Schizosaccharomyces pombe: one gene and its partners. The gene in region 2 interacts genetically with the main gene of each other region. Each region holds a gene or a part of one and is shown on either strand. Other genes may lie near its edges.

Region 1 (7,255 bases), on a different chromosome or scaffold from region 2:
GATGGTATTGGAATTAACTGTGGTTGCCCTCAAACATGGGCAATACAGGAAGGAATTGGGTCAGCTTTGTTGGATGAGCCGGAAAAGGTTCATAAGTTAGTTCGTGCGGTCAAGTCCACCTTGGGTGAAAGCTTCTGTACCGAAGTCAAAATAAGAATTGCCAAAGACTTAAATAAAACTCGGCACCTGATGCAAGTCATTGAAAAATCTGGAGCTGATATAATTACTGTTCATGGTCGCACTCGGCAAGATCGCTCTTCATTCCCTGTCAATTTGGATGCAATTCGAGAAGTTCGCCCATGTGTCCAAATTCCTGTCGTTGCAAATGGTGATGTTAAAAGTCTCCGTAAGGGTCTTGAGATTGCTAAATATACAGAAACCCAAGGCATCATGTCTGCTCGTGGTTTGTTAGAAAACCCTGCGCTTTTCGCTGGATATGAAGAAACGCCTTGGGGCTGCGTGGAGCGATTTCTTTGGTATTCTACATCCTATTCTCTAAATTTCCATTTATTCTATCACCATTTGACTACCATGATGGGGCAAATGACTACTAAGCGTGAAAGAATGACTATACCGAAAGATAGTTTTGCTAGTGTCATGGACTGGCTAGATGAGCATTTCGTTGTTCGGAGACCCGATGAACCCATGTTTGGAGAATCGGTATTGCCTTGTCGCCGCTATTAATCTCAACTCATTGTTTGTTTATTAGTTGGCATTGTAAATATGAAGTGATTTCTGTAATCAATTTATGCAGGGATCAATCGATACAATTACTTCAATTTGCCAACGTTTTATAGTTATTGTTTTTTTTAGGTGTTTTAGAAGTCTATGGTTTATCATTGTATTTTATCTGTTGTTCTTTACCAGAATTAGAATCCCCCGACCTTGTTCATTACTACTTTACATTTTTAGTCATACTCATTTGTTACACTTTTCACAATTCCCTTCCGTCTTTATCTCTTGAATATTATGAATTCTATTACACAGTACAATCAACGCTATCTACATTACTTTATTAAGAGAAATTGTACTCTTGAAACAGCTTGCGAAACTGATATCTCGATAATTAAAAAATGCGTTTTTTCAACAACGGCATTTCCTTGTTTTATCAATTGTTTGTCTTATCTCCACCATGGCATAGCAGAATTGGTATCAGTAAAAAATATTGATCAATTCATATTTCTGTCAACTGTGTTATAAACCAGATAGCATAACGGACTTAAAATGAAATTGTAGAGATAGAAATAAAATAGAATGAAGAGAAAAACCGATTAAAACGAAGAAGTGAATGCATGACAAAATATTAGTACATTTTCTTTTTAACAGTACGAAGCTAAAATAAAATAGTAGAAACCACAAGGTAAAGATGAAGAAAATGCATCTTAGAGGTTGTTAAAACTTCACGTAGTAACGCATCCTTCAAACTATACTAAATAGTAGTTTCCAGCCTCTAATGCTGTTCAGCAAAGATTTTGAACTCGAACTTCTAGATATTAGTTACAGACGTCTAATCTGCTAAGATTAAAAAATTTAAGAGGAAAATGAGAACTATTTACCATGGTTCTATATGCTGTTAGTAAAATACATATCCATACAAGGATTAGCAAACTTATAACTTACGAGAACCAGACCATCAGAGTACTCCTCTTCTGCAAAACCGCGATCATCGTCAGAACTGTCATTACCATCTTCTTCTTCACTGTCTGAAAAGTCTTCTCGATCTGAACCGTTAATAAAAAAATTAGATCGCGGATACTTGTTTTCATTTCCGCGCGAAACCCATTCAACAACTTCATCGTCGTCATCGTCGTCCTCATCAGAACTACTAAATTGATTGGCGTTGTTATCGGATATTTGCTGAGACATGTACTGAGCAAAATGATCGCGATTGTCTTGATCACTATCGTTAGCTGATTCAAAACTAAGTCGTCGCGACATCTCACGAGACAGCGGGTCTTCATCATTACCATCATCTTCGTCATTAGAAGACGAATTATGCGATAGCTCACGATGAACTTCCACGACATCGTCATCACTGCTATTGCTTTCCAATTCTTGCTCCAGCGCAAACTGCATTTCAGGTAAATTGTTGGCGTCCAACATCTCTCCTTCGTCCATGTCTTCCAAATAGCCCACCATCGAGGGTTCCAAGCCTCCTAATAATTGATTATCACGGTTCCTCGTTTCTACTAACGTCTTATTTACAAAATTTTGCCATTTTTCGTCATTGATAAGATTTAGCAATTCCTGATCAAAGGTAGAAGAATAATGTTCTACAAACTTCACAACTTCGTCAGCAATTATGGTTAGATGACCCATATATCCAGCCCGAAATCCGCTAGGTTTAGCTACCTTTTTATCATTCAATTCTTGGCCGTACACAATCTTTTCAGTGATTTTCCCTTGTTTAAACATATCGACGGCAAGTGCATAGTTTTGATCTTTGTCCATAGGAGCATTTAACACCTGCTGAACAACATCATATACAACGTTATGTAAAAAATTGTTCCAAGGATAATCAAAGAAATGATCAAGAATAGTCGGAATTACATTATTTTGAATAAATTCAATCTTTAGAAAATCGCCAATAACAGGGAGCTTTTTAGCATCCTCAATAACACTTTCCGGAAGGGGTTCGTAAGAAGTATCAGAAGCCGCATCATCGTCCCCATGGTGTAGTGCTTTAGCGGTTTCCATAACGTCCTTGTATTCTTCTTCACTAACGGGTTCAGCCTCGGACATTGGGGAATCAGTAGTAGTCAAATTAAGGTTATCCTTAGTGATTTGCGGAGCACGACCGTGCATATCTTCAGCCCCGTTCATGTCTTCAGTTTCCTTAAAATCTTTAGAATTTTTATCGGAAAAAGTAGAATCATCATCGTCCTCGTCGCTCATGACAAGATCACGTGCACAGCTATTATGGCGGAAAAGATAATCACGAAGATGGTCACGCTGCATTACCATGGCTTCACCATTAGGATCGCTAAGAAGGGACATATTACTACAATGAAGCAACTCGGCGTAAAGTTCACAAATTCGGAAACGTTCAAAACCTAAAGGCTTGATCTTACCAAAACTGGTGGGCATGAGGTCGGACTCGGTGGAAGGTTTAAGGAGGATTTTTTGAAAGACAGGAATTTTTTCGGCGAAAAGACGCAACATGGTCCCAAGGTAAATAGGATCACGGGTAGTAGGAGGATGCGTGTCAAGAGGCATTTGCAAAACGGGTGTAACATCGTAGTCACTGTTGTTCTTACGAATTAGTTCTATTACGATGCTGACGCCATTAATAAGAGAAGTGGCAGAGTGAGGAGCTTTAGAATCGGTCATGTAATCAGTTAGTGTAGTTATTGTTTGTCTGGATACTAGTTCTCGTGAAAGGGAGTTAGGTCCAATAACTCCGGGTTCATTAGAATTGGCAGAAATAGCGATAATTGCTTTTATAACATCAGCAACAGTAAACTGGACGTCGGGATCCACATATGGGCTAAGTAGACGCAGTAAGGATTGTATTAATCCCTGCGAATACAACCAGTCAGCAATTCCAATAGCAGTATTGCAACGATCCATTGAAATGAATTTGAGCAACAGATCCATGATTGCGCTTGTTTCCGCATGACGGAGGATCTTTTCTACAAAGTTATCAATAGATTGGATAAAGGCAACCGTTTCTTCGGTTTTTTTATCCAGAAAATGTTCATTGACCTTTGCAAAGTATGATGCTTGCAATGGGTTTAATGGGCCCTCGCTATCCAAAAAGGACCAAAGTTTCACCATCAATGTCTTATTTTCCACACAAGCCTCACAGATGGACCAAACGTCGCTACTGAGGATTTCACTCGCTATGTAGGAAAGTCTGGTATGTTCCGGCTCTTCATAACCACCATCGGCAGAAGGTATCTCTGTTTCGTCAACCTCCAAAATATAATCAATCAGCTGGCTAAGTACTTCCGGCTTGCAAAGGTATTCTAAAAGTTTGGGGTTGTGGCTTTTACATTCGTCCAAAACCCCATTCTCTTCTAACAACTCCTTTAAATTAATCTCATCTTCCGGTTTATCCAAAATCGCCTCAATGGCGCTTGAGCTTTGAAATCCAAATCCCTGGCCCAATCTCCAAAACATTTCTATCACTTCCTTTAAAATGTATGTAAGTCAAAGCTATGTTTATACTTCCCAAGGCTTAAACGGCGAAGCTCTTAGGTAAAGGCTTCCCCTTTTGCGTTCTTGTTTTACGGCGGTACTCTTGAGCCGTGCCCTTCACTGTATAGATAATCAATGTCTGCGGTTTTAAATATGAGTATCAAAGAGTCTCAATTTTGAAGTTTTTCCTCTATTACTACTTCCAAAACAGACAGTTGCGGTTTTAAGCTGTTGGCGAAGGGCAGATAAGTGTGAATGGTGAATCCTACGTAGTTCGTTCTTCCATATGGAGAGGTGGGGGAAAGCCAATTGTCTCTTTACTGCGGCTTTAGGAAGCGATGTAAAAACATTGGCTATTCTAGTGTAATGCGCAATCAATTATACCGTGGAAATAGCGTGTTGCAATCAAATTTAGGGATATGGTAAACGGTGGTGGGGTTGCTTGATACATATTATATTTTGATACACAGGTAATATGGGTAACAGGTAATGCTGATATTCTTATACAAAGGGGACGTTTGGCAGCTAATCACTGAAAAAGCTCAATACTTAACTGTACTAACGAATTCCAGCTAGGCTCTATCTAGAGTATGTTTATTAATCTAAAACTTTCTTTTGGAAAAATCAGCAAATCTTTTTGTGCTATGTTGTATCATAAGATAGCGGATAGATAACAGAACATGTGATATATAACGATACGGAACGTACTGTATTATTCGATATACTGAAGTTGACATTACAGTAGTTCACCAGTTTTCTGTTAGCGAAATCTATAAGTATCACGTTGTAAATCGGTAGATATCCTTAGCAGATAATTTCACAAAAGAAAAATTTTAGCTTAAAAGTTTTAAAAGAGTATTTTATTTACGGTTATAAAAGCTCCTAAATAGGAGTTAACTTAACTCTCCTATACTGCAGAAGTCAATCCATGGCAAGGACTAATCTGTATCGATAATGCATTTACTGACGATCAATTGACTGTATTATTTTTCGCATTTCCAGATATAAGATTGCTTCAAAGTGTTCGTTATAGCATATAATGTAACTTAGGAATACTGCTAGTCTTCTTAAAATGCGGATGTTAGAAGTAATCTACCTCCTAAATCAGCTTTTTGGTTCCTATTTTTGAATATTCTTTGTTTTAAGCAATTGATTCGAAATTTTTCAATTTTGTAATTCTCTGCTTAGTATAACTTTGTAAGATCTGAAATTGCGATAATTTGAAAGGACCTTGCTTGTTTGTTTACGCAGTTATATCAACCGGCGCATTTTTTGATCAACCTCTTTTTATCGCTCATTATGGAAAACAATCATCATTTGGCTAAGGATTCTTTGGATGAATTGAATCCTAAACGTGGAAAAGGCGAGCACGAAACTCAGGTCTCACAATACACTGTGGTCGAGGAAGCCACTATACCTCAGTCTTTAGGTAAGAAAAATACCCTCGTTGGGAAGAAAAAGAACTTCATATTCAAAAAGATAGCAATTTTAACGTAAAAGTGAAAACTTCCAGACCTGCTGATCATAAAGTGATGGAAGCTTCTAAGGTTGCTGATACTCGTACGGCTTGGTCGACAAAAATTCCAGCAGTACTTCTTCCTGTTTTCGTAATAAATATTGCTTTGTTTAAATATCTCGTGTTTGCAAACTTTTCAACTAAAGATCGGGTGCTATTTGGATTGGGAAATGGTGGAATTAACATATTTTCGATGTGGCTTTTACTCGGTAAGTGGACTATGTGATTACTATCAGTATGCAGCTGCTAATTCTATAGCAACATATGAAACATGGTTCAGGAGTATCAAGGAAGTTATTGTCGCTTGCGGAGCAGGTATAAGATCTTTTCCCCAAAAACGGGGAGTAAATATGCTATATGCTATTCTCAAGTTGACTTTTGTTAATGCATTTGCCATTCCCCTCCTTATGTTTTTTAGAAGTCATTTTGAGCAATGGAGACTGGGATGCCCGTTGGTGGAGCGTGTCATTGGTGTTATGCTAAACGTGGCATATTTTATAATTGAAATTGGTTCGTTCTTCAAAATTCTGATAAATGCTAACTTTACAAGAAAATCCTGGTTTATTCACTAGAGTTTTTAATAAGTACTGTGATTGCTTATTTGCTATTAGGGGTATGCTGCTAAATTCATCAATCTCGATGTTCATTTTCCAATTCGTCTCACTTACCAAACTAGATATCCTAAATAGAAACTAATGAGTTTTGAACAAATGCAATGCTGAGAATGTTATCCGTTATTTTTTGGAAAAGGTTTAATATGCTACATGTGTATTCAAACGATTCTATATTGAAAGAAGCGTTTGTATTTCGATTACTATCTGCTAATAATCTTCCTCTTTAGAATTGTCAAATTTGATAAAACTAATGAGATCATAATAGCGTGAAGCACCCTTGCTTGCGTTATTTCTTTTTAAAAATTTGTCTTAATTGCCAGTCGACACCTTTAAAACATCTTTCGTTGAGTGTTGTAGTTTTTGGACTGTAAAGGAAGACCCTTTGCGGTGATTTAATGTTTTCAAACATTTGCTAAAGGGCTGTTAAAATGTTTACGATATTCAAATGTTTATTTAAAAGAAAGTTTTCTTATTTGTTCATCTATGGGGTTGGCTCCTCATTCGTATAATACGCTGAAAGCACATTAAAGTCTCTGGATATCAGCAGTTTCATATGATTAATTTTCAAAGATCCGGTTTATGATAATCATGAAAGCAACAGAATTCTTTGTTTGTTATGGGAATGTATTTGTTGATGATTACTTTTTTTTCCCTAGTCAAATAGTTCAATAACGGTTGATATACCAATTATTAGACCAACAGACGAAGCTGAAATTCAACAATGGTTAACTCATTCCATTTCGGACCGTATAAACTCCTTTATTAGCTACTAAATTAATTTTTAATTTTGGTCAGTCAATGTGAATAGGATATTTCTTTTTAACTCATTAAGCACACAATGATTTCTTGGTTGTTTACTGAATAGTGCAAAATAAAGTCGTACCTAAAAATATGTTAGAGTTTGCTAATTGATATAAAATGTAAGCTACGCAGTTTGGTATCTGATTTAAGGATACGTAGAGCTGCGGTGAGTTTTCCTTGTGGT
Region 2 (5,924 bases):
AAATATTAAACAAGAACGCTCTTTTTCTATTTTATCAAAAAAAAAAAAAAAATTCAGTTCAAATAGTTGATTGAACGAATGGAGAGTTTACAAGAGTGTTTTACTCAATGTTTAGATAATTGATACAAATATTCAATCATGGTAAAAAAGTTTCATAGTTAAAAAAGGTTTCTGAAACAATTCAAAAATCCATTGGGTTAAAAAAATTATAATAATTCAATATATTTTAAGAGAAGAAATTGCGTTGACTAATTTTCGGATGTATTCAAAGAAATCATGAAAAAAAAAACACAAAGAAATAGAAAATGAGAGCACAAGAGAATCAAAATTCTTTTAAAGAACTCATGTCCTTTAAAGAAACTCATTACTTTGTTCTAAGCGAAACGGTCGTTAGGGTTCACCATTGCTTTATTCCGTGAACAAAATTTCAAAACTATTGTACACGGGGAATCCACTGGTGTCTACAACAGGATCATTGCCAGGACGAACCACCAAACCGGTGTGCAACCCGACTTTTCTTGCAGCTTTCAACTCGTTGATATTGTCACTCAAGAAGAGCCATTCTCTAGGATTTGAGTTTCCCACAATTTTCACATAACTGCCACACTCAGTTTTAAGCCCTATAGTAGTATCGTAATATCCAGAGAAATACTTTAGAAGGTTTCCAGCATCTGAATGCTCGAAATACAATTTCTGAGCTGGAACACTCCCACTGGAGTAAATGTAAACACGCATTCCCAATTGCAAACTACGTTGAATAGCAGGAACAACATCGGGGAACAAGTGTGAAGTTAGTTCATTACTTTCATAACCTTTTTTCCAAATACGACCTTGGACCATTTTGAAGGAACGTTCTTTGCTTCCTTCAGCATGCAACTTTCGTAAATTTATCAAGGCCTCTTCAGGCGTTTTTCCAAGTTCTCGCAAGTTTTCATCACTTTCATAATTTTCATTAACATAACTTTCGTATCTTGAAGCAGCGTATGGAAACTAGCATGGGTTAAACACGATCTACATTGTTCTCAATAAAAAACTTCACTTACCAATTTGTCTTTGACAAATGAAATGCTACCCACAGTCCCTTCAATATCCAAGAGCAAATTTTTAACCATTTTTTGTAATAAAGAGATGCCGTACAACTCACTTTTCTTTTAGGACACAAGTTTTATGCAACTTTAAAGAAGTAAGATGTGCAGTAAGTAGGATTAGTACTTTGCGAATTCAGCTATGCATCACGTAAAATAATTTAAGATTACAATTGGAATTTTATTGGATTTTACTTTCTTAAACATATGGAAAAAGAATTTCAACAGCTTGCAGCTTTTTATTGAGAACATGCATTTGAATAATTATCTTATGCATGCCTGTCTTTTAGAATAGAAAATACGGACTAGTTATTTTTTAACCATTTTTTAAATTCATTAATTATTCATAGATTAATCGCGTACAATATATGTTTCTACCAAGATGTCTTTTTTTTGTGGTCAAGATTGATAAGTAGAGCTTATTACGAAACGAATAACATTTTAAGTTAAATAAATCTAAGGGATTTCATACAGACAAAGACTTTCTGTGTACGTTAAAGGAGAAAGGTGTACTAGGAGGATTATCAGGAAGCTCTTTAGCCATATCAACAGCATCAGCAGGTGAGCTCTTATTCATTACAAAAAGACCCTGCAATGAAGCCATACTTGTATTTTTTGGACACACTATATCACTTAAATCGTCAGCCATCTCTGGGGAGTGACCGTAAAAGCGAGTAAACATTTCGCGAACTTGTTCAGGTGTAGCATTTCCAAGATATGCTTTAACGTCAACGCGGCCCGGACGAACGAGAGCTGGATCAAGCTTTTCAGGATGATTAGTTGTCATAAATATAATCCTTTCGTCTGATGAAGTGACACCGTCGAGTGCATTTAACAACCCACTAAATGTAACATTGGCATGAAACCCAACTTCCCCAGATCGTTCCCTACCTTGAAATGCAGAATCAACATCCTCCAGTAAAACTACTGCCTTGGGAGGTACATTAGAAAGTAGATGGTTGAGACGATCGTCAGTTAAGCCTTTTTCAGCCAAGTTTAGAACGCATATGTCGTAGTCCAATTCACCTGCAAGAGCATATAAAAATGAGGTTTTTCCACTTCCAGGAGGTCCATAAAGAAGATAGCCTCTTCTATATGGAATTCCTCTTGTATCATACCATTGTGAATTTCGTAAAAAGTCATGAACGTCGTCTGTAATCATTTTTTTAACATTGCTTTCAAGTACAACACTAGAAAGCATCCTTTTTGATCTAGGGTGCCCGAAAGGCTTCCATTCAGTGGCCCAAGCCGTGTATATAGTAGTCTTGTTTTTTTGAGCACTTTGCATGAATTTTTGAGCTTCTAATAAAAGTTCGGAAAAAATTCCACGATCTCTTGAAAGAGTGGTAAGAGTAATTGTCTCCCAAGGTGTTCCAGTTGTTAAATCTTGCAGACGATTGCTACGCTCTCGTTCTACTTGAATCCAACACTTTTTGTACTTTATGTAATGCTTTCCAGGACCTGGAACGAGGCTGAATATACGATTTGCAACTTGCTTGTCAGGTTTTTCCCTAGCATTTTGCGGCATTTTGAGTTGTCTGTTGCTTTCAACAGCCAGCTGATTTGAATAGCGTTTAGGCACCGTGCTCATCCAATGCAAAAAGGCATTATAACTTTTTTCTTTGCTTGGAATTTCGACAGACACTAGCATCCTTCTTTTTACTAAGCTTGCTCCTGAAATAAGCCCACGACGTAATATGGCTAGCCCAGCACCGAAACCCATTAAACCAATACCAGCACCTAAAAATGAATTTCCACTTAGTAACCCAGAAATGCCAGAAGACGTCGCTGCATCGGCAGCACCTATATTATCCATTTTTAAAGTGGAAAGACGATGAGAAGAAGGGAGGAAAGTTAATATTAATTTAATTCTTCAACGTAACGATAGCGGTTTCTTGCATATAAAGGAAATTTTTGGTATAAATAATTCATAGAAACAATTAAACCTTTATGAATATAATCAATTCTTTACGGAGGACATGTATAACAAAATATTGTAGTAAATCAAATGTCAAAACGCATATGTCAAAATGACCAGTAATTGATAGGTTTCAAACAAAAAAGAAATAAAATGTTCAATGAAGAAATTATATAATCCAATTTTATTGGAATGTTGAGAAAAAATGGAGGAGTTTTTGGTATGAACGAGGTTCTGGGTGAGGTTCATGTAGCCAACAATTTAGTGCTTTGCTAAGAAATTCCAAAAGTCTATGACTTCCGATAGGAGCGAAATAGATATGTTAGAACTAAAGAATAGTATAAAGCTAATTACATGAAACTGTTTTTCACATTGTTAATGTTTGTTTTAAACTTTTAATACCAGCTTGAAAGGTTCTGCTTGAAATAGAGAGAGTAACTTTGCAAAATATTTAACTTTTGACATTGAAATATTTTATGTAAAATGTTGGAAGGATGCATCTTGCTAGTGTTTAATATTTCCAGCCTACATGTGTGTGTTTACTACCCAATTTTTTAGAAATTGTTGCGAGTCTGGAAATCTAAGATCAAAAGTAAAGTATCATATCAAACCTATCCAGTGACAGCAATTGAGTAATTAAGAAAAAATTTCTTCCGAGGTCGCTTGATCTGGACTTTAGAAATGATACAAATGTTAGAGCCTGTAAATAAATTTTTTAATGACTTGATCACATTGATGATGGTAGCATATAATAAATATTCAGAACAAAATAACTGCATATAAATTTGCATTTCACACTAAGATAAGTAATTGATGTAGAACATATACATCCCGATTCTTCATGGCAGAAAAAACGCTTGCAAGTATGTTAGTGATTTGCAATTTTGCACTTGATGAATATAATTAAAAACTAAAGCTGCATCCAAAACATAATTAAATCGAGGCTGATGTATAATATTAATTTTCTTACAGGTATTCGTAAGAGATCGTACTTTGGAAAAAAACTAATGACTTTTAAAATCATTGGGCATACTTTAGTATGAAATTCAAATTGTATTTTGAACTGAGTTGGTGATTATGTATATGCACACTTTCTTTAAAAGATCAAAGATTTTGACAAAGAAAATTCTCTTGGCGAACAAAGAAACATCAACAAAGAACTTGGGAGGAAAGAAATAGTCATTGTTAAAAGCTAAGAAAGGAAAAGTCTTCGAATTTGCCAAAACATTAAGAAATTCTTTATATACTCAAATCAATGTATTTTAACCCACTTGCACTTCTTATACAGGTTTTTCAAGATGCATTTATATTTACATATACTGGTTACCCTGCTATCAATGTTCAACATCATATTCAAGCGTTTTCAAAACCAAAAAAGTTATACTTACAAACCTTGAGTTTTTCATTTCATTTCTTTTTTCTTTCGAGATCAATGAACATACTAAAAAGAATTCATTCAAGCTGAACACCTTCAATGCCTTTCATTGTTTAAAGACTTTATTATATAATTGTACATAATTTAACACAATACAAGCAAGTCCCGAGTGGCTCAATCGGTTTAGAGCGTCTGACTCTTATGATGGTCATCAGAAGGTTGCGAGTTCGAGTCTCGCCTTGGGAGGTTATTTTTTAATGTCTATATCTTACAAGTCCTTCTTATGTTGCAGTAGTGTAAATTACCGTTTTTAACCATCGTGCAACGTGGAACACAAAATTGACTAAATTAGGAAATCCCATTTTCAAAAACTATTATTGACTTCATAAGTTATGAAATGAAAAAGTTTTATACAACAGATCAGATGATGATGAATATTGTGCTAGCGTAATAGCATCTCCACTTTTCATCTTTGGAAACTTTTGCAAAGAAGGGATGTGAAAAATCAGCCTTCAACTTATCCTTTCGTAAGTGCAGCTCCACTCCACCCGGGGGTATAGAAATTACGAAACATCTTGAAAAAACGTCAACGAATGCATCAACAAGATCTTAGCATGTTTCGGATATGTCATGGTAAAGTTCGATTGCTTTGTGCATCTCCGTTAGCAGCTGCATCAAGCGAGTATCCAACGATGATCATCTCGATTCGTTTTGTGTGTTCATGAAACCCACGCCTTGCGTATGAAGTTGCCCACTTTGTATGACAATGAGATAATCTTACACTGCAATAAGGCCATATACCCGTAGTTGTTGGTACGACCACTCACATTCCAAAGTCCAACTCAATAGTGAAGAAATTCATCATTGGCAACAAGTCATCAACACTTCGTTGCTGTTGGACACTTCTACCAAACGTTCTTTATTGACAACTTTGAACGGCTTCGGCTGCATTCCCGAGCCCTGTAACGCCTATCTTTCATGTGGCTCGGAATGTAAACCAGAAACTCAGACAAATACCGCTGTTGGATCGCACTGATGATATTTGTTTATCGAGGCTGTGTTCATTTTTCTTAGTCATTTTAGCGTAACGAACTGACACCGAAAAATATCAAGCAATCAAGTAGATCCATCTGTCCAAGCACCAACCACATCTTTGCTCGATAATCAAACTTGGATTACCGATAGTTAAAGGTGAAGGATCGGTTTTGCTGGTTTCATTCGATTTTCCAAACATCGTCGATTCAGTAGACTGGGGTTGAGTCAGTATCCAAGCCATTCTTGCGCTCAATTGATAATTATGGTAGGTTACCCAAATGTTGTATGCCAACTGTATTACTTACCCGTGGTTATATTTTGAAAACAGCGAAACTGTGTAAACAATTTCTGTTTGTTTCTCAATTGTTTGTGGCGTACACGTATTGCAGCTCTCAAGTTGCTATAGTATATTTTTATTGTCTAATAAAAATTTAATGAATTTATTTAGTTGAAATATTTGCAGTAAGAATGTTCATGTTGATATACCATGTAAAAAAGTCACATAAAGTTG
Region 3 (5,119 bases), on a different chromosome or scaffold from region 2:
AGTACGTGATCCCATATCTTCCAGTAAATAAATACTTTCAAGTAATGGGTTTTCTGCACCAAGGTGCATAACTGAGAATAAAAATAACACAATTGCCGAACAGTATAAAATTTCAAACTCCAAATAAAAACACTTGTCCATCTGACCAGCAGATAACAATTTCGATGATAACTGAACAATTGCCTTTGCAGACTCATAGCAGGTTTCCAAATTGGAAAACACATCTTCCAAGCTTGGTTTATTGTTAAGGCCTTTCGTAAATGAAGAAGGTTTAACAGAATACCAATTATTTAAATAGAAAAACATAATGGGACAACTTACCTTGACAATTAGGTAGTGATAAAATAAATGTAAGCTAACGTTGGAATGAAAAAGGAGATCTGAAGTGTCATTCGTTCCATTAAGCTGTTGATGGGTTAAGTTTAACTTCCAATTACGAGCTTGGGAGTAGATTCTTTCAACTTTTAATAGTAATTTAGGAAAATTTGAGACATCCATCAAATAATCAGAACTTGATTCATACAGTGAATTTAGAGACCGTACGGAGATCTCAGCGTATTTTATTATAGCGACAAAATGAAAAACGGATGAAGGTAAATGTCGAGCCTCCAGCTCCGGGACAACGGTAGGAAGTTTTAAAGAATTCAGACCATTTGGAAATAAATTTATGATAGGAGTAATTCCAGACTGTATGTACAAAAAACTGGCTAAAACACGTAAGGACCAGCATATGCGAATACTAGTCTCCTCAGTTGAAACTTCATTTAATGTGCTGTTATCAGTTGAACCATGCTCCAAACCAAGGGTATGCGCGGAATGTATTGCAAAACCTAAATAAGAATATGCACATTTAAAATTTCCAGTTAAAAAATGATATAGTGAAAGTAAAAAGACAGCTTGAATAGAAGAAAGGGTACAGCGATTTAATAAAGAGCTAATTAATTGCTCTGAAATCTGTATCATTGAATCAATATGACTAAGCTGAACTTCCTTGGGCAATACATTAATGTTGTTATTTGAGAAGTGACCAAGCACAACAATTAAAAGAGCAACAGCAAGAAATCCTGTATCCAACGTATCTGAGTTAACTAAACCATCTGCAAGGATTTGGTAACGGTTAGAAAAAACAGATGGAGGATAAAAGTAAAAAAAACTTTGATACCGGAGGAAAAACTCATTTGCATAACGTTCTGCGACAGAAACCGGTGGTAACAAATTATGTGCTATTTTCTTTAGAGCTTTTAATGAAAAAGATGAGTGATTGGAGGTCAAATTTATAATTGAATATTCATGAGTTCCTTGTGAAGAAGCTGAACCTACAGATACTGAAGTAGGGGTCGATTGAAGTGTGTTTAGTTCTAAAGGCAATAAAGAGGAAGAGAGATCCTCCGGAATTTTACTTTGATAGTCAATGAGCAGTGATTCTGGGGTATTGCTTGAATTTAACTGTAAGGATGCTAAAACAGAATTTAAAAAATAAGTGCTTGACGTCGGACTTAAATATATGGGTTCTCCTAGAGCATCTAAGAATGAACGTACAGGAAGTATGGGTTGGGAATTGATTATTAAATTATTGGCACTTCTAATAACCTTATCTTGGTTCACATGAATTGCATTAGCAGATATATTTTCAGTAAACTTGATGGAAGTATTAAGATCAGTGTTTTGAATAGATGAGAAATTTGAATCCGAAGAGGGGGGAGTAGATGAAGAAGGAAAAGAAACGTTTGCTGACTTGACAGCAGACGAATCGTCTTTATTGTTTGTAGCAGCAACCTTTAAAACAGATTGATCAATTGACCCGGGTATTAGCAAAGAACGAACGTCGCTTCCAGAAGCTAATGAAGATTCGACATGTTTGCATAGTTTGACTAAACTACGTGTGTCATGAGGAAGAGAAGGACACAGCAATTCCATCAGATATTCGAAGCATTTCTGCCTTTGACTCAGTTCCGCAATAAATTGTTTTGAGGGAGTACGCTCTTTTAAAGAATCAGCATACTTACATTGCGAAGGCGTAGCAATGCAAGCCTGACATGGTTCAGAACCACTGCATCGAATTTTCTTGGCCCGACAAGACAGACATGCCCGCCTTACTCTTCTTCTACTGTCCAAAGGAACACGCCTTCTTTGTTTATACTCTTCCTCTTTGGCTTCTAAAAACAAAGAACGACTAGAAAAGTCAGAGGGACACATAAACTTCGCATAATAACAATTGCTACATTTAAGATTTTCATATAGGTAAATCAATTTCGCTGTCGGTCACAGGTACCCGAAGGTGGTAAGTAGCAATGCTACTTCAATTTTAAATAGTATGCATCAGCAAAATTAAATTTGCTAGTAAGCTCTGTCAAGTCCCCAGGTTAATATAAATGTATTAAATGCAGTAAAAAAATTTATTGTTTAAATGAATATGTTAATGACAACGATTAATTGACTGTAATTTGGTAGTATACAGTTTTGATCAATTTTATAAAACATGGTATTTACACAGTGTTTTTTGGTATCAGTTTATTTGTTTATTGAGAATATCAAAGACAGTTAAATTAAATAATAATAATTCATAAAAGTTAATGAAATTCAAACATTTGTTTCCTAAGTTTTTTTCATTACTAATGCAAAAAAAGTTGAATATATATATTTTTCTTTAAAAAAAATTGGATTACATCAACGTACCAACTAAAATTGTGTCAATCTTATCGAACTAGCAAACTGGCAGTAAACTTCTTGAAAGCGTTACGGTCAATCTTTTGAACTTGAAATCACTCTTAAAAAGACTTTCATTCTTGTTGTTTACGAACCTAATAACCAATACCATAAAATATCAAGCAAATATGGTAAAAAATATCGAATTCCCAAAATGCGTTGTTTTTGACTTAGACTACACTCTGTGGCCTCTTTGGATAGATACCCATGGTATTAAATCTTTTACTTTGATCTACTTTATGTTTTATTTTCTAACAAAGTTTCACAGTCACTGCACCATTTAAGCCTTCCAAAAATGACCCAGGCGTTTTGATTGACAAATATGGCACAGAGATTTGTTTTTACTCAGATATAACTGGAATTTTACAAGAGCTAAGGAACCAAAAAGTTACTTTGTGCGTTGCTAGCCGTACTTGTGCTCCCAAGTATGCGAAACAAGCATTGAATTTGATGAAGGTACCAATAGATGGAAGTCTTAAGCCGGCTATCGAATTTTTCACTTATGTAAAAGCTTGGCCAGGTATGTCTTTTAATACATTTTTGTCAATACAGAAAATATCAATAATCATATTGCTAACTAGTTATTGTGAAATAGGTAGTAAAATGGATCACTTCAAAGAGATCCACAACGAATCTGGAATTGACTATCGAGAAATGGTGTTTTTTGATGATGAGTCTAGGAACAGAGAGGTTGAAAGACTTGGTGTTACATTCTGTTTAGTTCCTGATGGCCTTAATCGTGCGTCCTTTGAGCAAGGTATAAACAAGTGGAGAAAATTAAAAAAAACTCACTAAATATTCTTTCATTTCTAAAAAATCATATGCATGGTTAATTTTTCTTTTGAAAGAAAAGTTAATCAATTTTGCTTGCATCTTAAGAAAACAACTATCGTGCTTTAACTTATATTTAGAAGTCTCTATTCGAATTGAGATGTATTTTGTTTAATCACAGTATCATTGTTAAAATTGGGAAACACTGATACTACTTTTAATGGGTGAAGAATCAAATTTAGAAATTAAATCTATTAAAGACCTAAATTGCTTCAATCTGTAATATGGGGTTTCTTATGAACTTTCTCTTTTCTTTTTGCAAACTAAGTAAGTATCATATAAATAAATAACAAAAATATATACAAACGGTATAATGTCATATGAGCATAGTTGCAAACCGGTTTAGGAAAACAAAGAACATAACAGAGTAGTTTAATTGATTAATATAATGAATTTTATAAAAATTCTTAAAAAAAATTACATCACTATACACTTACTTTTCTCAAGTAAATATATAATTTTGAAATTATATCTCCATTACATGTTTGTCTAGAAGCATTGCAATATATATAAATCGAAGAAGAAGCAATGTTAAAGTTACAAAGTACGCTCAGTATCCTTTTCAGTCATGTTGCACCAGGCAGCCATTGCGCATTGTTCCGGATATTTCTTTGCTAAAATACTAGAAATACGGCCTAGTGAGGAAAACAGTAAATCAGTACATTCCTCATTAGCATACCTCTTTGACATGTTTTCCATATATGATGTTACGGTATCCAAGTCTTCAGGCCACAAAAAGTTATCATCTTTGCGATAGGATTCCATAGAAGGGTGTGTCAAAAGAAACGATCCGACATGTTCGTTTACGATGTTCATAACTGAACATGCGATTTTGGAAGCGGGAAATTTGAATAAATTAGGTACAAACATTGATGCATCAAGTACTAAGAAAAAAATCGGGTCTAAAACAGGAATATACGAAGCTGGTGTAGGGATTGAGATATCCCAATCAAGAGTATCAAGTATGTGGCGTTCCATACGAATAAATAAATCCTCAGCATAGATGTTTTTACAAGCTAACTTCAGTTCTTGCAATAATGGAACACGGTCTTCTGTTTCATGAAATTTACTGGCAATCCAAAGACAAACACATGCTACTAACTGAATGTGTTTGCAGTATACCACTCTCCTCGAGACATATGAATCCATGAGGGAAATACTAAGCGGAAGAGTATCAATAGACAAGTCGAATCCATTATGTATTTCTACAATAAAATTAACGAGTGCAGGTCGCATTGACCATCTGAGTTCCGGTTGCTGATTAGAAAGATGGACATTCAGCAAAAAATTTTTCTCTCTAGTAATCAGATGATGGATAATGTCTTCCTGGTACTCACCTAAATACCCGTTCATTGATAAACCAGTGAGTAAAGAGGATTGAGTGTTATAAAGTAAGGCGCTAGATTCCGCTGACAATGTGCTAACAGAGTCGACAACAAATGCAGTCTCATTTTTAAGAGAGGGAGATTTGGAATTAACGCCTTTTGGTGAAACAGCTAAAGAGCAAGGGCCCACTGATAGAGAATATGAACAGGCAGCTAATATTTTAGGTTCTATACTTGAAGATGAAGTGGGAGTATGA
Region 4 (6,211 bases), 1.9 Mb from region 2:
TAGATAACTAATCTTTTCCATCTTTGCTTAATTATAATATTAATCATTGATTGTGATTCTACAATTACCCTTTTTAGAAAAGATAACCTGAGTGGTTTTTCATGATAATCTTTGCATGGTATTTACACTAGGGACATTCGTGTATTAATACTTTAAGCAATGTTCGGGTTAAATAAAACACCCTCATTTGGGTCCACAGGAACCCAAAACCAAAGTATGTTTCTTTAGGTGAACAAGTCTTCAAGTTTACTTTTCGAATTTTGTGCTTATTCATATATTAACCTTTTCAGATACTGGTACTTCTGCAGGCACAGGACTTTTTTCTTCTAATACTTTTGGTAACAATACGCAGGCCAATACGCCCGCTTCGACTGGGTTTGGAGGCGTAACAGGAGGAGCTTTTGGTCAAACAAAACCTCAAACTGGTGGAAGCTTGTTTGGAAATAAGCCAAACGCTACATCTACTACCCCCGGCCTAAATTTGTTTGGACAAAACCCTCAAGCGGCACCTGGTGGCAGCCTGTTTGGAGCTTCCACTACTAAACCTCAAGCACCTGGTGGTTTGTTCAATCAGAATCAAACACAAGCACAACCTGCTCAAGCAGCCCCTACTGGAGGATTATTTGGATTATCTGGTCAAAATCAAACACAATCGCAAACACAGCCTGCTCAAGCAAATACTTCTCTTTTCGGACAGTCTAACATCGGAACTACAGGAGGTCTATTTGATCAAAACCGCCCTAATACTTCGACTTTTGGTCAATTTTCTACACAACCAGCTTCCGCTGGCCTTTTTGGTCAATCCACACAACCGTCTGGTTCAACTGGTTTTGGTTTAAGCAATAATACTCAAACTACTCCATTCTTTTCTGCAGCTCAGCAGCAACCGTCAACAACGTAAGTTAATTATTAAATTTTTTTTTCATTAACAAAAAAACAGGCAACTCCCTTCTAATCCAGCTATTAATGCAACGACGAGATACTCGAGCTTAAACGCTAATACTCAAAAATTTTTAGATGACTTAGAGTATGTGTTACCTTATGTACAAAATTTGTTCTAATCATGTCCGTAGCAAAGAAATTTTTAGCCAAATCCAACTTGCAGAGGAACTACAAACTAAGTTGGGGACTGTTTCCGAATTGGTTGAATCCGTCCCTAATGATGTCGCTGAAGTACAGAGAGTGAGTTATTTCCTTCTATTATCTCCAAGTTTTATTTGTTTCTAACTAAAATAAAGCGTTTATCTTCTGTCTCGACTGCACTTTTAATTGATTCCGACGAAATTGAAACTACGAAGCGTGTAGTTGACGAAGATACTTCGAATGCTCGCATTAGTTCACGTATTTTGGACGTTTTTAAAACACCTGGCGCAACCTATCCCTTCGCGTCAAACGATCCCCTAATGAACTACTTTGAGCAATTTACAGAAAACGCTAAGAAACGTACAGATCTGTATGCTGCCACTATTGGTGAACTTGAACAACATTTGGAGCAAGTTGAGACTACGCCACAGAATAATAGTCCCGAGGGTATGCCTTTAATTTGTAAAACTTGTATTAACTATCTAGCATTACTGAAAACTATCAAAGAGGAGCACAAATTATTCATGGCTCTTAGTAATAGATTTGCTCAAGTTCACGATGAAGTAAAGCGTCTACAAGTGAACACTTCAACGTCCTTGCCCTTTATAAGTTAATAGCGATCATTAAAGGGACTTCATAATCCTTAACATCATAAAAAAAATAAATAGATAAAAATCTCTAAAGTAGACAAATTCTCCTTAGATTAGAGTTTTCCGAACTTGTTGCATCCATGTAGTGCTTCGTGCTCCCGAAATGCTACATCTTGTATTAAAATCAATGTCCAGCATATGATAAATCGTATCTCTTGAGTTCATCGGTAAAGATTCTATCAATTGGCTTTTCGTGTTAGGGTCATTTCGTTGAGTAACGTATAAATTAAAACGTTTATCCGATGTATGCGGCACTTTCCATGGAAATCTCTTTAAAGCAATACAACAGTAAACAATTGCACAAGACCAAACATCTACAGCGCTCGGATCATATGGTTTCTGAGTAAGAACTTCGGGAGCAACATATGGTTTTGAACCGACTACACCATCAGACATCAGAGTGGTTGATTCAAATGGATAATGAAAAACAAAAGCAGTACCAAAATCAATAATCTTAACATTTAAATTTTCATCGAGCATAATATTATCTAATTTTATATCACGATGAGCAATGCCAAGGGAATGCATATAAGCCACGCCATCTAACAATTGAAAAAACATTTGATCAGCTTTTAAAGCAGAGCAATGACCTTTGGTAATAAAGGTAAAAAGATCATAAGGAACATACTCAATTATTTGTAAAATAGTATGCCTTTTGTATATAATGTCTAATACCTTGATGATATTGGGATGCCTGAGTGTCGACGCAAAAGTGTACTCTGCAATGAAATAACGTACATACCTGCGCAGTAATGAGGTATCTAATGGAGGACGAAATACTTTGGCAACGTAAATTGGCAATTTGTTTCGATCATTAATGACCCGAATGAAAGAGCTCGCTCCCTCCCCAATGACATTATTTAACTTTCCATAAGGTGTATCAGTTACGGAACATTCCGGGTTTACAACTCTCTTTCTTGATCTCGGGTTGATTCTCTTAAAGATGCTAGCATTGCTACCAGTTACTTTGTGTTTCAGCAATTTTCGAAGATCAGAAGTATGATTGTAGCAAGCAATAGGCGCCAGAGCGAAGCCGGAGTTCCGTTTTTTTATAAAATTGTCGTTTCCGTTCGGAAGGATATTAATTCTGATCTTCATCTTATCATACATGCTACTATAAAATGATTTAGACTTCTTTTTAAAGTGAAACTGAGGTGGGATATCGTTTGGATCAGAAGATGGATTTTTTCGATAAAGTCTGCTATATGGATTACCACCATTTATGCCATCATTAAGGGTAGCAAATTTCGATTCTGTGGAAGATGACTCTTCCGACATAGATGTTAAAGTGCTTGATAGTGATGAGTGAGTAGTCGATAATTCCTGTAAGCTATGAGCATGATCGAGAAGGTAATCAGATTTATCGCTCTCTTCACTCTCAATGGAGTTGGTAAATGAAATCACAAAGTTTTCGGGTAAAGTTGTAGATGCCGTTAATAATAAGCTACTTCGAGAATATTTAATGTAGGGGTATGAACGGACGGGCTTTAAGTAATTCGAAATAACTTGATCATCCTGTTTATTCTAATATCATTAGTTAGCGTACACCATATTTGAATATTTAGAAAAATAAGGATTTTTTTCTATTCTTTTTTTTAAAGAAAAAAAGATAACTAAAAAAATTAAAGGCAGAAAACATACCGAGGTTAATTCCAATGAATCTGTGCAAAATAAATTATTAGAGTTCTCTTCCGTGATCACAGCCATTGCTCTAAGAATTGTGATTGTAAAAGCTTCTTTCCAAAAAAAAAGTAAAAAAGATATATTAATGAATTAAGTGATAATTAAGGAGAATAAATAAAACGAATCCAGAAATTAAGTGAAACCGATTATAATGACGGGAAAGAAAATCAAACAAATACCGCTTCCCTGATAATGACTGACAAGAAATAAAATAAACACCGCAAATAAGTAAACAACCAAAAAAATTGTAATCGCGCAATGTCTATGCAATACAAGCAAAATAAAAAAATGTTTAACTAAAACGAAGCGAAACGATTATGCATCCCAATGTCGATCCTGATCGCAAAAAAAATTGGTAACGACAATTCCCAATTTAGTAATGTTTATATAGCAAATCTCACGAGCCGAATAGGTTCATCTAATAAATGTCCGAGGAGATAAACCGGAGTTGGTTCGATGAGGAAATTAATGTGAATAAAATATGGTTCCACGTTTCGATATATATTAACGTCGAAAGCAAATACCGTAGAATGCCGGACTGCGTTGTTTTTTTTAAAAATTCATAAACTCCAATGCCAAAATGTTCTATAGAATCGGCAAACTAAAATTTAAGATCGAATTGAACATAAAAACGAAGCGTATTTATATACTGATTGCAGGTCCTTTGCTTGAATCCTATCAATAAATTGTATGATGCTATCTCGTCAAAAAAGTAATGGCTTTATAATAGTGTGGTTATCATTTTGTGAAAACATTACGCCATTAACTGCTTATTTATTTACGCTCCGATTTTTGCAGATTCCTATCCTAACGATCTTTATGATGCTTGTTATTAAATATATTTAGTCATCACCAGCAATTGCTTACTTGATAGTGGAGACGTTAAGGCGAGATAAGGTAGGTGTGTATTTGTAAGACTAAGCATATCGTTTTCCTTATGTAATTAATATTTCGTACTGGCAGCATATAAATTTGTTACCATTTTGAAGGCTGACTAACCACAAAACATTGGTTTTTGCAAGCTATGAATGCTTTGATTACCTAATTCGTTCAATAGAAAAATTTGTACTTCTTAATAGCTTGGATTTTTTATATCGTTCAATGTTATTGTGGGGAGTATCGAAAATCGCACACCAATGTTTCCGTATTAGTTTGAAAGAACTACGTTAACTAGATTCGGTTTTCGTAAATTAGTTTTAAAAAATATCATTAAATGGAAGTTTTTAAAATATCAATAGAGATTTGTTGTTTCAATATTTGGTATTAAGCATAATAAGTTTAACTGCACTCCAGTTGATGGGTACGACGAAACCTATCGAGTAACTTTCGATAAAGTATACACGTTTGTCACGCGTCGAGAGCGGTATTTTCAATTATTCTTATCCGACTGAATTTAATTAACTCAACTCGCTACTTCTTATTTTGAGTTGAGCGCACATAAGCTATTTTTTGAGCTACTAATTTAATAGATTGCTATAACGAAATTCAGCGGTGTCCTTGTGCATTTCATTTATCACGATTGTTTGAGGTTCGGTATTCGTGTAATTTTTAATGCCATGTATATTATACATGGACGACACTAGTTGTCTCATTGACTTGCCAACATCTCTGCAATTTAATAAACATATTTTGCCCACTCGAACGAAGCCTGTCGTGAAGCCATATTTACTCCCCGAAAAATCAACTTCGGATTATGAAAACAGTGGCAAAGGCACTGTAGGGCAAGTACTGCAAAGCCTTCAGCGAGTTCGTCGTGCTTTACAGTTGCGCAGTTTGGATGACAATCAATCAACCGATAAATCACACCATGTTCAATTTCAAGATATCGTATACAGGTCAAATACTAGTGCATCAGAAATCCATTTTCAAGCTGAAAATGCTCCTTTAGTGCAATGGTACTCAGACATTTTCAAAGTACTAGTTAAAGCACCGGTTATACAGTTTGAGGATCAGTGCTTGCAATGGTTGAAAATGTTGAATACTATTCCACCGTCATATTCATTTATAACTATAAAGTCTAAAGATACAGTTGAACTTGGATTGGAAGAGATTTATCAACAATGTGTCCAAAATGATGGAGCGTCCGCTATAAAATTAAAGCTGAAGGGATCAAAGGTTATTACTGAATCGTCTGAAACTAATTGTAGGGATTCAATTTACTACATCCCTGCTCGTTCCTCTTTTATTATGGGTGACGTGGAGAAAACTGCGCAAATCCTTTTAGAAGCAATTGATGGCCATCTAGAAAAACCCAAATGCATAATTATAGACCCTCCATGGCCGAATAAATCTGTAGCTAGGAGCTCTGTCTATAAGGTGAACAGGAACCTTGGATATTTAAAAGCATTACCAATTCAGGAATCGTTAAGCAAAACCGGCGTCGTGGCAGTTTGGTGCACAAATAAGGAAAAGTATGTAAATTTTGTTAAAAAAGTGCTTTTTAAAAAATGGAATTTAACGCTTGTCTCTACATGGACATGGCTTAAAATAACGGCATTTGGCGAACCATTATTTGATGTTTATTCAAACATGCGCAAACCTTGGGAACAGCTTTTGATTGGAGTTACTTCAGAATATACATCTGTATATAGTGATAAAATCCCTCCAACGTTTACAATAATTGGTATTCCAGATTATCATTCCAGGAAACCATCATTAAAACCTTTCATTTCACGTTGGTTTAATTGTTCGGCAAATGAATCGCTTCCTGTTTTAGAAATTTTTGGCCGTAGTCTCACACCTAATTGGATTACATGGGGGAGGGAACCTTTGTTGTTTATGCATGAATTATACTG

The links.
Region 1: mutations in bcs1 (region 2) and ekc1 together harm fitness less than expected from each alone (positive genetic interaction), as found in Schizosaccharomyces pombe (one large-scale study listed by BioGRID).
Region 3: mutations in bcs1 (region 2) and SPOM_SPBP8B7.31 together harm fitness less than expected from each alone (positive genetic interaction), as found in Schizosaccharomyces pombe (one large-scale study listed by BioGRID).
Region 4: mutations in bcs1 (region 2) and ppk8 together harm fitness less than expected from each alone (positive genetic interaction), as found in Schizosaccharomyces pombe (one large-scale study listed by BioGRID).

The regions. Positions count from the first base shown.
Region 1 is NC_003421.2:1,624,999-1,632,253, forward strand, and holds ekc1 (protein phosphatase regulatory subunit Ekc1), read right to left. Parts: upstream 4,377-7,255; 5' UTR 4,123-4,376; coding exon 1,621-4,122; intron 1,564-1,620; coding exon 1,549-1,563; 3' UTR 989-1,548; downstream 1-988. Other genes in the region: tRNA dihydrouridine synthase Dus4, read left to right, coding at 1-684; wtf element Wtf14, read left to right, coding at 5,440-5,569, 5,641-5,865, 5,915-6,166, 6,207-6,269, 6,333-6,352. UniProt on the Schizosaccharomyces pombe protein: Has a role in chromosome segregation. May provide a dynamic connection between kinetochore microtubules and kinetochore chromatin.
Region 2 is NC_003424.3:2,683,383-2,689,306, reverse strand, and holds bcs1 (iron-sulfur protein assembly ATPase), read right to left. Parts: upstream 3,244-5,924; 5' UTR 2,902-3,243; coding exon 1,552-2,901; 3' UTR 1,486-1,551; downstream 1-1,485. Other genes in the region: utr4 (methionine salvage haloacid dehalogenase-like hydrolase), read right to left, coding at 409-990, 1,044-1,112.
Region 3 is NC_003423.3:3,695,499-3,700,617, forward strand, and holds SPOM_SPBP8B7.31 (acid phosphatase), read left to right. Parts: upstream 1-2,692; 5' UTR 2,693-2,834; coding exon 2,835-2,916; exon of another isoform or gene 2,917-2,974; coding exon 2,975-3,226; intron 3,227-3,295; exon of another isoform or gene 3,296-3,301; coding exon 3,302-3,421; exon of another isoform or gene 3,422-3,474; coding exon 3,475-3,539; 3' UTR 3,540-3,848; downstream 3,849-5,119. Other genes in the region: DNA-binding transcription factor Thi5, read right to left, coding at 1-2,196; G1 cyclin Puc1, read right to left, coding at 4,075-5,119.
Region 4 is NC_003424.3:747,159-753,369, reverse strand, and holds ppk8 (serine/threonine protein kinase Ppk8), read right to left. Parts: upstream 3,889-6,211; 5' UTR 3,441-3,888; coding exon 3,375-3,440; intron 3,258-3,374; coding exon 1,782-3,257; 3' UTR 1,698-1,781; coding exon of another isoform or gene 1,570-1,697; 3' UTR 1,531-1,569; downstream 1-1,530. Other genes in the region: nucleoporin Nup45, read left to right, coding at 160-214, 291-897, 941-1,027, 1,074-1,182, 1,239-1,530, 1,570-1,697; ime4 (mRNA (2'-O-methyladenosine-N(6)-)-methyltransferase), read left to right, coding at 4,968-6,211.